Linked DNA regions of Pelodiscus sinensis. The protein of the gene in region 2 interacts with the protein of the main gene of each other region in a biochemical or structural test. Links are inferred from orthologs where the notes say so. Each region holds a gene or a part of one and is shown on either strand. Other genes may lie near its edges.

Region 1 (7,004 bases), about 67 Mb from region 2:
CTTGTAATCTATTCGCCACAGGCGAGTAGATTACATGATTTGTCGAGCCCTGTTCATAAGTGATCTGGAAAAGAGAGTAAACAGTGAAGTGGAAAAATTTATAGAGGATACAAAACTATGCCAGATAATTGAGTGAAGAGTGACTGTGAAGACTTACAAAGGCTCTCATAAAACTGAGTGGACAACAAAATGGCAATTAAAATTTGATGTTAATAAATGCAAAGTAATGCACATTTGAAAACATAACAGAATACATATAAAATGATGGGGTCTAAATCAGCTCTTAACACTCAAGAAAAAGATCTTTGAGTCGTGGTGGATAGTTCTCTGAAAACATTTACTCAATGTGCAGCAGCAGCCACAAAAACAAGCCAAATGTTGGGAATCATTGAGAACAGGATAGATAATAAGACAATAAATATCATATTGCCTCTATATAAATCCATGGTACACCCACATCTTGCAAAAGTGATGAGGAGTCCTATGGCACCTTATAGACTAACTGAAGTGTAGGAGCATAAGCTTTCGTGGGCAAAGACCCACTTCGTCAGATGCATGCATCTGACGAAGTGGGTCTTTGCCCATGAAAGCTTATGCTCCTACACTTCAGTTAGTCTATAAGGTGCCACAGGACTTCTCGTCGCTTTTGCAGATTCAGACTAACACGGCTACCCCTCTGATACTTGATACCCACATCTTGAACACTGCATGCAGATCTTTTTGTCCCATCTCAAAAAGGTACAGAGAAGAACAATAAAAAGGATTAGGGATATGGAAAAGTCTCCCTGGCAGTAGAGATTGATAAGAATGGGACATTTCAGCTCAGAAGAGAGATGACTAAAGGTGATTCAATAGTGTTATTTACTCTATCATAATAAGAGCTACAGGTCACCAAAATAAATTAATAGTCAGAAGGTTTAAAACAACAAAAAGAAATATTTCACACAATCTGTGGAACTCTTTACCAGAGGATGCTGTGAAAGTAAGAAGCTGAGAATGGGAGACAGGATGGATCACTTGATGATTACCTGTTCTGTTCATTCCCACTGAAGCATCTGGTATTGGCTACTGCCAGAAGAAAGGGCACTGGGCTAAATGGATCAATGGACTGACCCAGTATGGCCATTCTGAGATACGGTATAATGCCTGAAAATCCACACAAAACCCATACAAGAGTAATGACTGGGTCACTATCATATAAATAGATGTTCTACATCCACCAGCTCCTCCTTGATGTATGCCCCAACCTAAACAAAATCAAAGAGGACCAGAGATGACTGTACAGAATTACAGCATTATGACTGACACTAAGGAGAATTCCTTCTGAGTTACTTCTAATAGAAGTCTTGTTTTCAGTGATATTTTACTTCAACTGATCCAACTTCTAGTTACTCCCCAAATGTTTCCAGCTGAGCTCAGATTTTTCACACTTAGTCTAGATCAGTGTTTCCCAATTTTATTTGGCCACGGAACCCTTTTAAACTCGAAAAATTTTTGCCGAACCCCTAATAGCAGTCTTATATATGGAGTTGAAAAAGTAGGCCACAAATAAGTAAGGATAAAATAATAAACAAATGCTAAACAAGGTCATGAGATCAACATTTAGTTTAACTGCACATATTTAAAAACAAAAAGTCACATTTAGTGTGTACAAAAAAAATGTTAAATCATAAAATGTTATTGTAGTGCAATTTTCTTGAGGAACCCTTATTTTCACATAGAACCACAGGGTTCCATGGAACACCATTTGGGAAACACTGGTCTAGATTTCTTAAAAAAATATTGATTCTGGTAGGATCCCCAGTGGTTATGGGACTATCTCTGCCCCGAACAGAGAAGACACACTACATTCTCCAAAAATGTTTTAAGAAGGGTGTGGAGAGATTTACAAACAAAATCATAGAATATTAGAACTGTAAGGGACCTCAACAGATCAAGTCCAGTCCCCTGACCTCATGGCAGGACCAAGCACGGTCTATATCATCCCTGATACATGTCTGTCTAACCTACTCTTACATATCGCCAGTGATTGCCATTTTTCCGAAAAAACTTCACTTACATCCACACTGCAATCGCGTTCTTTCGAAAGAAAATTGAAAGAACAGAGGGGTTGTTCTGACATTGGTAAACCTCTTTCTATGAGGAAAAAAGCTTTTTTCGGGTCAAGGGCCACTGATCCACAGAAAAAAAATCAGTTAGGGACCACACAAGTGAGAAATAAAAAATTCTTCTCCAAAAATCCCCAACTTTCACTGATGTGGCCCCCAACTGAGACACCTCACTCCTCTGGCGCTCCAGCCTCACAGGGTGAAGGGAAGGGCCAGGGAGGACTGAGGTTCAGGGTTTCTCAGAGGCCAAATTTACTTTTCTGGGGTTCCAGAATTAGTGGATTTTATGGATCCCCTTAAGTCTGGGATAAGGACAAAAATGAGAGGTCTAGTGTGTGAGACAGGGTTGCTAGTGAGTGATGTAGGGAACAGGTGCAGGAGCTGGGAAGGAGATGGGGTGCAGAAGGGGGATAAATTGTGAGGTCTGGATGGGCGATAGGGTGCAGAAGCAAGCTGGGAGTAGGTTGTCTGGCTAGATGGAGGGAGTATGAGGAAACTACGATACAGTGTGTGGCCAGGAGGGAAGGTGTAGGAGTAGGATGGGGGTAGGATGTCTGACCAGGAGGGAGTGCCTGACTAGGAGGGAGGGTGCAGGAGCAAGGGAGGGTGTTGGCGCAAGCTAGGTGGTGCAGGATCCTGGCAGGGGAAGGGGAGTAAGTGAGGGAGACTGGGGTGTGGGTGTCTGCACATGAGGGGAGACGCTTACTTGGCTTCCCACAGCCTTGCAGTTGGGAAAGCCTCACACATCACTGCACTGCCATTCCCCCAGCAGGGTGGAGAGGGGGATGGAGTTCATTTGTGACCCCGCCCCCACACACACACAGCAGGAAGCCTGCTCAGCCAGGAGGCTGCAACACCAGCTCTGGCTTCCTGCTCAGAGGGTATTGGAGGGGGCGGGGGGCAAGAGAGGTGTGAAGAAAGCCTTGAGCTTCCTCACCAGACCCAACTCTCAGCAGAGAGTGTCAGAGCTAGCAGCTCCATGCACTGCCACTCCCCCAGCGGGGTGCAAAGGGGCGGCAGGAGAGTGAGCAGCAGCACATGGAGCGCACCTGCAGTGCCCCAGCCAGAGGCTCCACGTGGCCCCTCCCAGGGCTGAAGCGGCAGCTCCAAGGTGTTGAGGTCCAGAAGCGACTCCACTGGATTTTGCCTCTGACCTGGCAGCCTCCCACATTCAAAGGCAGCATTGGCAGCCGCTGTAATAACAGGCAGCGATCTGGAGGAGGCAGTGGCTGTGCGGCCAGATCAGGGCCCTGCGTGGAAGAGGCAGGCCCACAAGAGAATGGAGGGGGCCGTGCAGCACGCAGTACTGGAGCAGCTGCACCAGGTGGCGGTGGCTTGCTGGGACTCAAACAATCCTCTGGACTCTGGAAACCACATGCCACCAGAAAACACCAAAGCTGCCTGCCGGCAAAGCGCCCAAAATGTATGTTCTCTGTGTGTGCGGGGAGGGGGGGAAGGGGCGGGCAGGGAGGGTATGGAGGCCATTGCTGCTGCACCATGCTAGTATGAGCCTTTCCCAGCTGGGAGAAGGGAAATGGCAATGCACAGAGCTGGGAGGAGGGCGGGGGGCAATGTTTTCCACATGCCAAATCAGGTGGGGAGGTTCATGTGCCAGTGAAAATCATTTTGCGTGCCACTTATGGCATGCATGCCATGTATTGACCACACAGGGGTCAGCCACATAATTTGTACCGACTACACGATTAGTCAATAAGCACTGCTCTGCAGAGCCACAGTGGGGGTAAGCTCCCGGAACCACCTCGAGCCGAGACTGAGCAGTCCTAGCTCGTGCTGGCTCGGGGAAGCCACCCACGCTGCAGCTTTGCATTTTAAATATGTTAAGAGTTTCCAGGATGTTACTGTATTTAAAATGCAGAGGCGCAGTGTCCTGGACCAGCACAAGCTGAACTGGTCACTCCTGGCTCACACTGAGTCCAGCAGCTCGTCTGCAGCAGCCAGGGCAGCCCCTTCACGTGGCCAGCCTGGGCCACTACAAACAGGGGCTGCTTGGTGGAGCAACCTCCCCTCAGATAGAGGCAGCAAAAGGAGTGGGGCAGAGGGTGGCATCACAGAGACAGTGCTGGGAATAACTGGTTTTTAAGCCAGCTCCCTCCAGCAATGTCTCCTGTCCCTCCCCCCTTATTGCCTCTCATACAGAGACGGTGGGGAGGGGGGAGGGGGAAGGAGTGAAGCCAGTAGTTGAGTGCTCCACCAGACTACCTGATAAGCTTATATTTTTAGCGGGTGGTCGAGTAGCTGATTACTCTCTAATCTAACATCTGTAGACAGCACCAAATCTCCTTGATTTTGCAGAAACTGTAGCCATCTTCATTATTCAGTAGAAAAAGGTAGTCTACATAGATCATGCCTGGGCAAAATACCCATTGCAGCCCAGATCCAGCCCGCCAAGCCTCCAGATCTGGCCGGCAAATGGAGTGGAGAGCTTCAGGCAGACTCCCTGCCTGCCCCTGCACATTGCTGAGAAAAGCAACCATTGTGGGGGCTCTGTATGAACAGCTGTGAGCCCAAGGGAGGGGGAAGAGACTTCATGTGCTGCCCCTGCCCCTAGCACAATCCCATTGGCTAGCAGCTTGCAGAGCACCCTCCCTCTCCCTTCAGGCTCCTAGCTATTCAAAAACTACATGGCCCCTGAGGGAGCAGGGCAGGGAGTCTGCTCGAAAAGGCTGCTGGCTAGGAGTCAAGTAGGTAAGTCTCCCAGGCAGAGCCTGCCTCTGGCACTCCAACCCTCTGCCCTTCATCCCACATAACCCAAACCCTATTCCCCCCTTCCTGTTCCCATATCCCCTCCCAAATCCTGCACCCCAATCCTCTGTCCCAGATCAAAACCCAAACCCCTGCATCTTAGCTCCCTTCCCCAGGTCTCAACTGCCTCCTTCACTCAAACTCCCTCCCAGACCTCACACTTTCTCCTGCATCCCAATCCCTTACAGCAAGCTCTCTTCCGTACCCTAACTCCATCCAAAACTTCACACCTCCTCCATTAACATGGAAGACTGCAGCTCTTGACCACTTTTCAAAGTCTTGGATACCCACCCATCAAAAAGTATTGCCCACCATGACACACAATGGATTTCAACAAGCACTATTCTATCTTGATGAAGGAGGTAGACTGGAGGTGGTGCAACATCAGCAGATTAAGGATGATACAGTGTAGTCAAGAACATGGTTAATCAATGAGCCTGGGCTCATCAGTAAAAAAAGCCTTTTGGTTAAATGCAGTCCCTCCCCCTCGCTGCCTCCGATACAGAGGCAGTGGGGGCGGGAGAGAGTGTGACATGAGTCAGTGCATGGAACTGCCTGGCTTTAAAAGCTGGTTTAAAAGCTGGCTCCCCCCCTCTCGCCCCAAGCAACAGTTTCCCCCCCCCCCCCAGCTGCTACCTCCTTCAGAGGCAGCAAGGGGGGGGGGGAAGGGAAATGGGAGCCAGTGCTCATGGGAGCCAGCTCCCACCTCTCCCATCTCCTGTGTCATACCTATTGAAAACTTCAGCAGATACATGTTTACACAAACACATTTTAACATCTGTACAGGAAACACAGGACTACAGATTCAAGTGCCAACTCTTCCAGTATATTAAAGGGTAGATTTACCAAATACCAGGTTACAGAATTCTGCAGGCTGTACATGGTGAGTGGAATGCGTTCTGACCACTATATATTAAGCAGACAGCAAGTCTGATAACCTGCCTTTCAACATCATTTTCAAAAGCAGCCACTGCATTTGGATACTTCAGTGAGGAGAGTGCTCATCCTGGGACAGTTTGGAGCTGATTTTCAGAAGTGCTGAGCATCCATAAATTCCCACTGAACTCATCTGGAGTTGCCACAATTGAAAACCGAGGCCCAAGCAATTTCAGGTGAGCTACCAAGAAGAGAGACAATCCAAACCCGTGAAAATGTTGGCCATAGTGTCTTGTTAAGACTAGGAAAAAAAAAAAAACCTAACTGGCCTTTGACATGCATAGCCCAGTTAGGACCAAGATACACTAGGGAGTTCAATGCTTTGCAGGAGCCTGTTTACCTCTTTGACGGGGTGTTTTCAATGGGAGCTCCTAGCTGTCACCTTCACCCTCCTACCTGGCTCTCATGCCCCCTACCCACTTCACACACCCCCCAGGCCTCTGCCCACCTCACCGCCCATGCAGCCGCCTTCCCCGGCCCCCCTCACACTCCGACCCCGCTCTGCCCCATAGCCCCGGCCCGGCCCACACTGCCCCCGCCCCGCTCCCGTCACTCACTCCGAGCCCCCGGCCGTGTCTGCGCAGCCGCCCGTCCGCCTCCCAGTCCCAGCCCCGGGCCGGAGGCTTGGCCGGAGCCCCGCCCCCGGGAGCCGCGCGCGGCCTCCTCGGGCTCACTGAGGCGAGCGGCTCCGGCTCCAGCCCGTCCCGCCCCGCGCAGCCCTTGGCGGGCCCGGCCCCCCGGCGAGGAGCGACCCCCGGGCAGGCAGGCGGGCGGGAGGCAGTTGGGCCCGGGCGCGCTCCCGGGGTCGCCTCCCCGCCGGGCCAGCCCGCCCGCGGGAGCCGCCAGGCCGGAGCGCGGCGGGTCTCACCTGACCGGGTCGCGGGGGAAGCGGAAGAAGGCCAGGTCGGACTGGGTGCTCTTGCGCGTGCAGTTGGGAGCCGCGCAGAAGTTCGGCATGGTCCCCGTGCCGGGTCCCTGCCCCTTTAAATCCGCGCTCCCTCCGGGCCGGAGGGCGGGGGGGGGGGAGGGGAAGCGGCTCTACACTGCTGTGAGCGGCCGGGAGGATTCACCGCCACCCTCCTCCGGGACAGAGCCGCCTCCTTCCCACCAGGCACCGCGCCCGACAGCGGGGTGGCGCGCACGCGCTGCAAGCCGCCCGAGGGCGCGGGAGGAGAGGCGGCGTGCGCATGCGCTTTC
Region 2 (7,753 bases):
CTTTTAATCAGTTACAACAGTTAACTCCAGCATCATCTCTTCCCCCCCATCTTCAGTACTGTCCTGGAAGAGAATCCAATACTCTCTCTGGTTTTAAGGACAGTTTGTTACTGAAAATGCAGCTTCTGTTCCAGGAGAGAAGAGATTAACACAGCCTCCAGGAGGGTGGAAACCTCACAACCCTCCCTGTTTATAAATCTCTATTTCATTATTTAACTTTGTTAGCGCTGTATCAAGAATAAGAAGAAACTAAAAATGTACAGTGTACCTGTACAAAATGATCTACAGCTATGGAAAATGTGAGTTGTGTATTACATTAACTACACATATACTAACATAATCTCTTATGAAGTAACCTTTTAAACACAGAAATTAGAGATAAGAGAAACCGAATAGATCATATTTTGGCCATCCTAATGTCTGTAGAATTGTTCCAAGTAAGAGTGCTTTGTCCAGAATAGGTTTAAAGCGGCACCCTTCCCTGGGAAAAGTTTTTTACAATATAATAAAGCTTGCTATTAGGAAAAATATATACAAAATTAGAAAGTAAACTTGTGACTACCAAGGCCACAATCAGCAAAGCACTAAGGTCATCCATGCTACTTGGAAACAGATTTGGAAGATGAATTATCTACAGATGCTTAAAAACAAGTTCAAATGCTTACACCGATTCCTCTGGCATTAGTACAGTTTCATTAACATAACTGCAGAAGTATCAGGGGGAGCAAACAGTACAGTAGCAGCACATAAACTACTGTCACATTACATTCAATATTAAATTATCAGGAAGCCAGTACACTCTAGTTTTTAGAGTTCTCATTTAACACAACCTTGAAGTGCATTTCTAACCTCCAGAGTGACCATAAAGTGACTACGTGTTCAATTTTCGACAGGAACACGTGATCAAAAAGGGATCCTGGCGGTTCTAAGCTCTTACTGTCCAGTCGGCAGTGCCGCACAGGCTCTCCCTGCTAGCCTCTGCACTGGGCAGCTCCCAGGAAACATATCCCCCCTCTGGCTTCTATGCATAAGGGGGTCAGGGGCTCCATATTCTGTTGTGGCTCCAAGCACCACCCCATCACTTCTGTTAGGTAGGAGTCATGGCCAATGGGAGCTGTAGGGGTAGTACCTACAGATGGGGCAGTGCCCAAAGCCACATGATTGCACTTTTGTGAAAGAACCAGAGGGGGGCTATGCTGGCTGCTTCCGGGAGTTGTTTGAGGTAAGCTCTGCCCAGAGTTTGCACCCTTCCTGGGCCCCAACCCCCTGTCCTAGCCTTGATCCTCTCCAAACCCATTTATCCCAGCCCAGAGCACCTTTCTACACTCCCAAATCCCTCAAACCTGGCTCACAACCTCATCTTGAGCCTCCCCCCCCATACCCTAATCCCTGAGCCAAACTGATGAAAATGAACATACAACTTGCGGGGGGGGGGGGGGGGGGGGGAGAGACAGGAGGGGAGACAGAGAATTCAGAGGAAGGCCTCTGAGAAAGGCATAATAAGTGTTTTCCATTTTGTGCAAGTAGAAAGTTAGCAACCCAAAGTGACCACAGCCCACAGAAAGGTCCAGATTCACTCTGAGTTCTTACAATTCAACAGCCACCCCCTCCTATTTTATTCATTACAAACAATAATACAAAAAATTGCAGCCAAATTGTGCCTTCTGGTGCATCTGTACAATTTATTTTCAAACTATGCCCTCACAAACACTTGTGCAATCCCGTTAGCTTTCTATGATTACACAGATGTTACTTGTGACAATCTGAAACTTAAAAAGATGCACAAGTGTAATGGAGGGAATAATTTCTTCTGAAGAACTACTACTCCTGGCAGTAATGAATTATTAAAAAAAACAACAAGCACCTAACTTGATTACCAGAAATGAGAACATTCTTACAGGGCTAGAAGTTAATAGAAGTCTTTTTACATGAATATTGAACAAATCTATAATACCATTTCCACATGGCCACTTTTTAAGCTAAATTCACACTTTTAAAATCTTTCCCTAGTTTCTTTTGACTAAGAATAGAAACCAAATTAAAACTGCACTTACTGTAGTGCAACAAAACAAAGCTACAACACAAAGCTAGAAATGTCATTAATTTGAGGATATTTAAAAACAGTTAATGATGATGCTGCATTTGTTATTTTCATCTTTTTCTGAATATCTATTTGAAGTTAGAACTTTAAGAAATATTTATTGTTTTCAAAGTGACTGTCTGCAGCCCCCAACTAGAAGTTACAAACTTTTCTATTTTTTTACTGTCATATTTCTCTAGTTGTGCCCAGAATTTAAGGACAGTGTGCCTGCAACAGTCTCAACTCCAGTTTAGAGTCCCTGCCCATCACAGCTTTCTTTCCCTTCAATACGCACAGGCTGGCATTGCCCTCAAGTCCAGCACAGATATGCTCTCCGTGACAGGAGGCATCATGCCAGAGCAGCCAGCACAAGGCTGCGGCAGTGAGACCCTCAAAGCCTCAGCATACTACTCAAGGGTGTTCCTGTGGAAGGTAACCCTGTGATGTGGGGATACGTGAGAGCGCTCAGGGAAATGCGGGCTTCCCTGTGGTGAGCATCTCATTGCACTCACCAAACCAAACCCCGACCCCAATTCTAACCCTGGCGGCGTCCCTGCACCAACCCGGCGCTACGCCCAGGGCCCAGACGCTGCTCTGCCCCATGCTCACCCCACCGTGTAAACCTCCCCCAAACTCAGCACCACGACACCTGCCACATGATGAGCAGCAGCAGCCGCCGCCCCGTCCCCCCTCTCAGCGTGCAGCGCCGTGCACCAGCGCGGGCAGGCTCGCCCCGCAGCCCCTCACCCTCGCCGAGCAGGTCGCAGAGCACCAGCAGCAGGGGCAGCACGGCGCCCAGCTGGCCGAGGCACGCGCTGGCCGACACCATGGCTACAGCACGCGGCTGCGAAGGGACCCCCGGCCACGCGCCTCCAGCAGGCTTCAGCGACTCCACTTCCAAGTTCGCTGGGGTGGATCGTGGGCGCCTCCGATTGGCTGCGCCGCCGCCGCCGGCCCCGCCCCCTGCTTGGGAAACGTGGAGAGCCCGGAGGACTAGTCAGGCGCCGCTCCCTTGACAGCATCGCGCTTGCGCGCTGGTGTGTCTATGGGGGGGGTTGAGCATGCGCAGGAGCCACAGTTGAAGCTGCCAGTTAAAGACTGTGCCCTCAGCCGTCAAAAGAACGTGGTGGGTGTTGGGAGGGGGAAGCGTGAAGGGCAGCAGCAGCAGCAGCAGGAGGGAACAAATGCGAGAGGCTTGTATGGCTGCTTTGAGTGTCAGGGCTTTGCAGCTGAGTGGGGATGAGTCATTAAAGCCCCAATCTGGTCCAAAATCTTAACTCAGTGGCCCTGAGTCTTTCTGGGGCCAGGACCCACAGAAAGGAAGAAGAATCGTCCTGAGACACCAGCATATGCTACAGTCATTTTAGTGGATAGGGATTTTGGGATTTGAGGTCTCAGGAGGAGAAGCCTCAGGTTGCTGGTCATAGCATAGTGGAAGCAGGGCCAGCCCAACCCATACGGGTGAACTAGGCAGTCAGTTAATTAGGGTGCCAGGCTTTAAGAGGCACCAGATACGTTGGAAGTGATTTTTTTCCCTCTGTTTAAAAATCTGTATTCATAGAATACTAGAACTGGATCATCAAGTCCAGTCCCATGACCTCACAGCAAGGCCAAGCACTATCTAGATCATCGGATCCTAAATTGGTAGGCGCACCTGCCGGGAGGGTGGGTTGAAGAAATTCCAAGGGGGCGCAAGGCTGATAAATTTTCATAAAAACAATTATCAGCACAATTTTTTAATTTTCAAATTTCATACCACGAAATGCAAATTTTAATTTTTTTTTTTTTTTTTTGCCTTTTGACATGTAGGGGTACCGGTTCGGTCGGTGGGGAGGCCAAAGAACGATGTAGAAGGCGATGGAACTTTTTCAAACTTTCTAGCATGCTCACAGGGGTGTTCGGGACTGTTCTATTGTGGGAGTAGGTAGCCAGTCTTGCGCGGTGACTGGTAGTGGGGTATATATAAGGCAGCACGCATCTGTACGCAATAGTAGTAGTAAATAAACATTTGCAATAACTTATCAAAGTAACTTGTGCCTGTTAAATTTATTCAAATCAGGAAAATTATAGATTCTAGATCATCCCTGATAGATGTCTATCCAACCTGCTCTTAAATATCTCCAGTGATGGAGATTCCACAACCTCTCTAGGCAACTTATTCCAGTGTTTAACCACCCTGACAATTAGGAAGTTTTTCCTAATGTCCAACTTAAACCTCCCTTGCTGCAATTTAAGCCCATTGCTTCTTGTCCTATCATCAGAGGCCAAGAAGAACAATGAAGTAGCTGATATCTGGGTACTCTTCTGGCCCTGTCCATCTGTTTTTTCACTTTTCTGGAAACTTGACCTTTAATAGTTCCATTCATCTGAAGAAATGGGCTGTGCCCATGAAAACTCATGATATCATCTACATGTTTTGTTAGTCTCTAAGGTGCTGCAAGGCTATTTGTTGTTGTTTTTTAAATTTTTCTCCCTGTTCCTTGTAACACCTTTTAGATACTTGAAAATTGCAATCATGTCCCCTCTCAGTCTCCTCTCCTCTAAACTAAACAAGCCAAATTCTTTCACTCTTCCCTGATAGCTCGTGTTTTCTAGACCTTTAATCATTTTTGATGCTCTTCTCTGGACCTTCTCCAATTTCTTCACATCTTTCTTGAAATGTGGTGACCAGAATTGGACACAATATTCCAGCTGAGGCCTAATCAGTGCAGAGTAGAGCAGAAGAATGACTTCTTGTGTCTTGCTCATAAGACTCCTGTTAATGCCTCCTAGAATCATGTTTTTTTTGTTTTTTTTTTTTTTGCAATAGTGTCACACTGTTGACTCATATTTAGCTTGTGGTCCACTATGACCCCCAGAACTCCTTCTGCAGTACTGCTTCCTAGACAGTCGCTTCCCATTCTGTATGTGTGAAATGGATTGTTCCTTCCTAAGTGGAGTACTTTGCATTTGTCCTTATTAAGCTTCATCTTATTTACCTCAGACCATTTATCCAGTTTGTCCAGGTCATTTTGAATGACCCCATCCTCCAGAGAATTTGAAACCCCTCCCAGCCTGGTATCATATGCAAACTTAATAATCGTACTGTCTATGCCATCATCTAAATCATTGATAAAGATATTGAACAGAACCAGTCCCAAAACAGACCCCTGCGGAACCCCACACGTTATGCCCTTCCAGCAGAATTGTGAACTGTTAATAACTACTCTCTGAGAACGGTTATCCAGCCAATTATGCACCCACCTTATAGTAGCCCCATCTAGGTTGCATTTCTCTTCAGTTGTTTTTCCTCTTAGTCTTGCTTCCCATAGAACCTTCCCTACCTGCTCTCTAAGTTTACTAAAATCTGCCTTCCTGAAATCCATTGTCTCTGTTTTGCTGTTCTCCTTCTACTGTTCATTAGAATCATGAACTCTATGATTTCACGATCATTTTCACCCAAGCTGCCTTCCACTTTCAAATTTTCAATCAGTTCCTGCCTTTTGTTAAAATCAAATCTAAAACAGCTTCTCCCCAGTCACTCTCTCAACCTTCTGAAATAAAAAAAATTGTCTCTAATGCAGTCCACAAATGTATTGGATAATCTGTGCCCTGCTGTGTTGTTTTTCCAACAAATGTCTGGATAGCTAAAGTCCCCCATCACTATTAAATCCTGTGCTTTGGATGATGTTGCTAGTTGTTTAAAAAAAGCCTCACCCACCTCTTTTGCCTGGGTAGGTGATCTGTAGTAGACCCCTACTATTATCCTTTTTAAACCACTGTTAACCAACCCAGAGACTCCTATGTCCATCTCCACCTCAGTTCAAGTGTAAACATTAATATATAAGACAACACCTCCTCCCTTTTTTCTCTGCCTTTCCTTCCTGAGCAAGCTATACCTTTCTATGCCAATATTCCAATTGTGTGTATTGTCCCACAATAATGTTATCTCTTATAAACAGTATAGACTATTGTAAAACAGTGCATCATTGCAATGTTGGAAGTTGAGTTACGTTACTTATTTCCACTACAAGATTTACCCAGCATTGCTCAGTTCATCAATTTCTCTGTATGAATGGGGCGGGGGGAGCTTCATCCCTGCCCTGTAAATGGCCCCTGGGGGGTGGGAAGGTTGGTGGGGCTGGGGATGAGATGTTCAGTGAGAGGTTCAGTATGCAGGCTGCCCTAGGGAGAGAGGACAATCCCAGCCCCCTCTCACTGCAGCAGCTTGGGGCCAGGTGAGAAGTGCCTCTCTCTGGCTGCTGCAGTGGGCACAGATGAGGGAGGGATGTATGTGCAACCCACATACCTTCTGGGTGTGGTGTAATGTCCAATACAGTGACATTTAGACCACTTACAGAGAAAAAGAATGTGTTTATAGCCTTAGCAGAGAGCCTTTTAGCTCAGGATATAAATCAGAGGTTCATGCACTAAGCTCCAGAAGTCCTAGTCTGGATTCTGCCTGTCAGCATTACATATGTCCCCCAGCTGGGGCAGGTTCAGGATCATCTGCCTCTGCTCTCCCCAGCAAGAGTGAAGAATGCAGCAAACTGTTCCCTGACGAAGGGGAACAGACAGCCATGTCCCCATGTGAATCGGGGGACAAGCTTCAGACCTTCAAGGTGAGGCTTGAGAAGAGCAGTTCAGTATGCAGGCTGTCCCAAGGTGAGAGGATTACCCCAGCCCTCTCTCACCACAGCAGCTTGGAGCCAGATGAGAAGTTCCTGTCCATGGCCACTGCACAGTCAGGGGAGGCTGCATGTCCGCTGGGTGGGTGGCAGACAGACAAGACAGACACACAAACTGTCTCAAATTTTTAGTACATGGCCATCTATTTCTCCACCCAAGTCTCCTGCTGCCCCAATTGGAATATAGCTGTCCTGGTTCCCATCTCTGGCCCCTTGCTGCTCCCATGTGGTCATTATACGCATAACTGTCCCTGCTAGCAGAACCCTTCCTTTCCATGTTATGAGAAGAAATCACATTCCAGGCACATCCCATTGTCCTAGCACAACCAAACCCTGACCTTGCTTTTAAATTATTATAGGAGGAACCTGCATAGCAAATTTGGCAGTCCTCGCTCCTACTGTTTAGGAGGAGTTCTCAAACACAGACACTCACTCGCACTAGGCTCTCATTCCACGAGGAGTAATGGTAGTTCGAACTAGGAAGCCTAGTCCGAACTACCTAGTTCGTGCCGCGTGTAGCCGCGCAGCACGGGGTTCGAACCAGCCGGGATTTAAAAATGGCGGCGCCCGGCTTATGCAAATGAAGCCCAGGAAATTCAAATCAGGTGTTTGAAGGGGAGGTTCCGCTGCCTCCTCAATTGCCTGGATGTCGGGAAAGGGAAAATCCCCCACGCAGTGTCCAATATTTGTGAAAGCAGGGAGGAGATGTTCCTCTCAGGATGGGAGGCAGAGGCTGACTGGATTGGCAGAGCCTTTGGGCAGCTGCACATGGCTGCTATCCGGCAGGCCCATCAGGGGGCTGTGTGCATCCGGGTGGTCTTGAGAGAGAGTTTCACACAAGGACCCTGCTGACACTTTCCCCTTAGCCTCCCACAAGGGGCCTGTGCATCATCCCTCTTTGCCTTTCCTCCCACACTCCTCCCTTCCCCTGCCCTCCCTTTCTCCCCTACAGAAACAATAAACTACACTTTTTGTTTTTGAAAAATAAATTGTTTGGTTTTATTTG

Evidence for each region.
Region 1: the proteins of DNAJC3 (region 2) and THAP12 form a complex in vitro, tested with the Homo sapiens proteins (2 studies listed by BioGRID). The link is inferred for Pelodiscus sinensis from reciprocal best matches to the Homo sapiens genes DNAJC3 and THAP12.

Annotation. Positions count from the first base shown.
Region 1 is NC_134711.1:318,773,712-318,780,715, reverse strand, and holds the start of THAP12 (52 kDa repressor of the inhibitor of the protein kinase), read right to left. Parts: upstream 3,003-7,004; 5' UTR 1,127-3,002; coding exon 1,029-1,126; intron 65-1,028; exon of another isoform or gene 1-64. UniProt on the Homo sapiens protein: Upstream regulator of interferon-induced serine/threonine protein kinase R (PKR). May block the PKR-inhibitory function of DNAJC3, resulting in restoration of kinase activity and suppression of cell growth.
Region 2 is NC_134711.1:251,329,789-251,337,541, forward strand, and holds the start of DNAJC3 (dnaJ homolog subfamily C member 3), read right to left. Parts: upstream 3,065-7,753; 5' UTR 2,910-3,064; coding exon 2,828-2,909; intron 1-2,827. UniProt on the Homo sapiens protein: Involved in the unfolded protein response (UPR) during endoplasmic reticulum (ER) stress.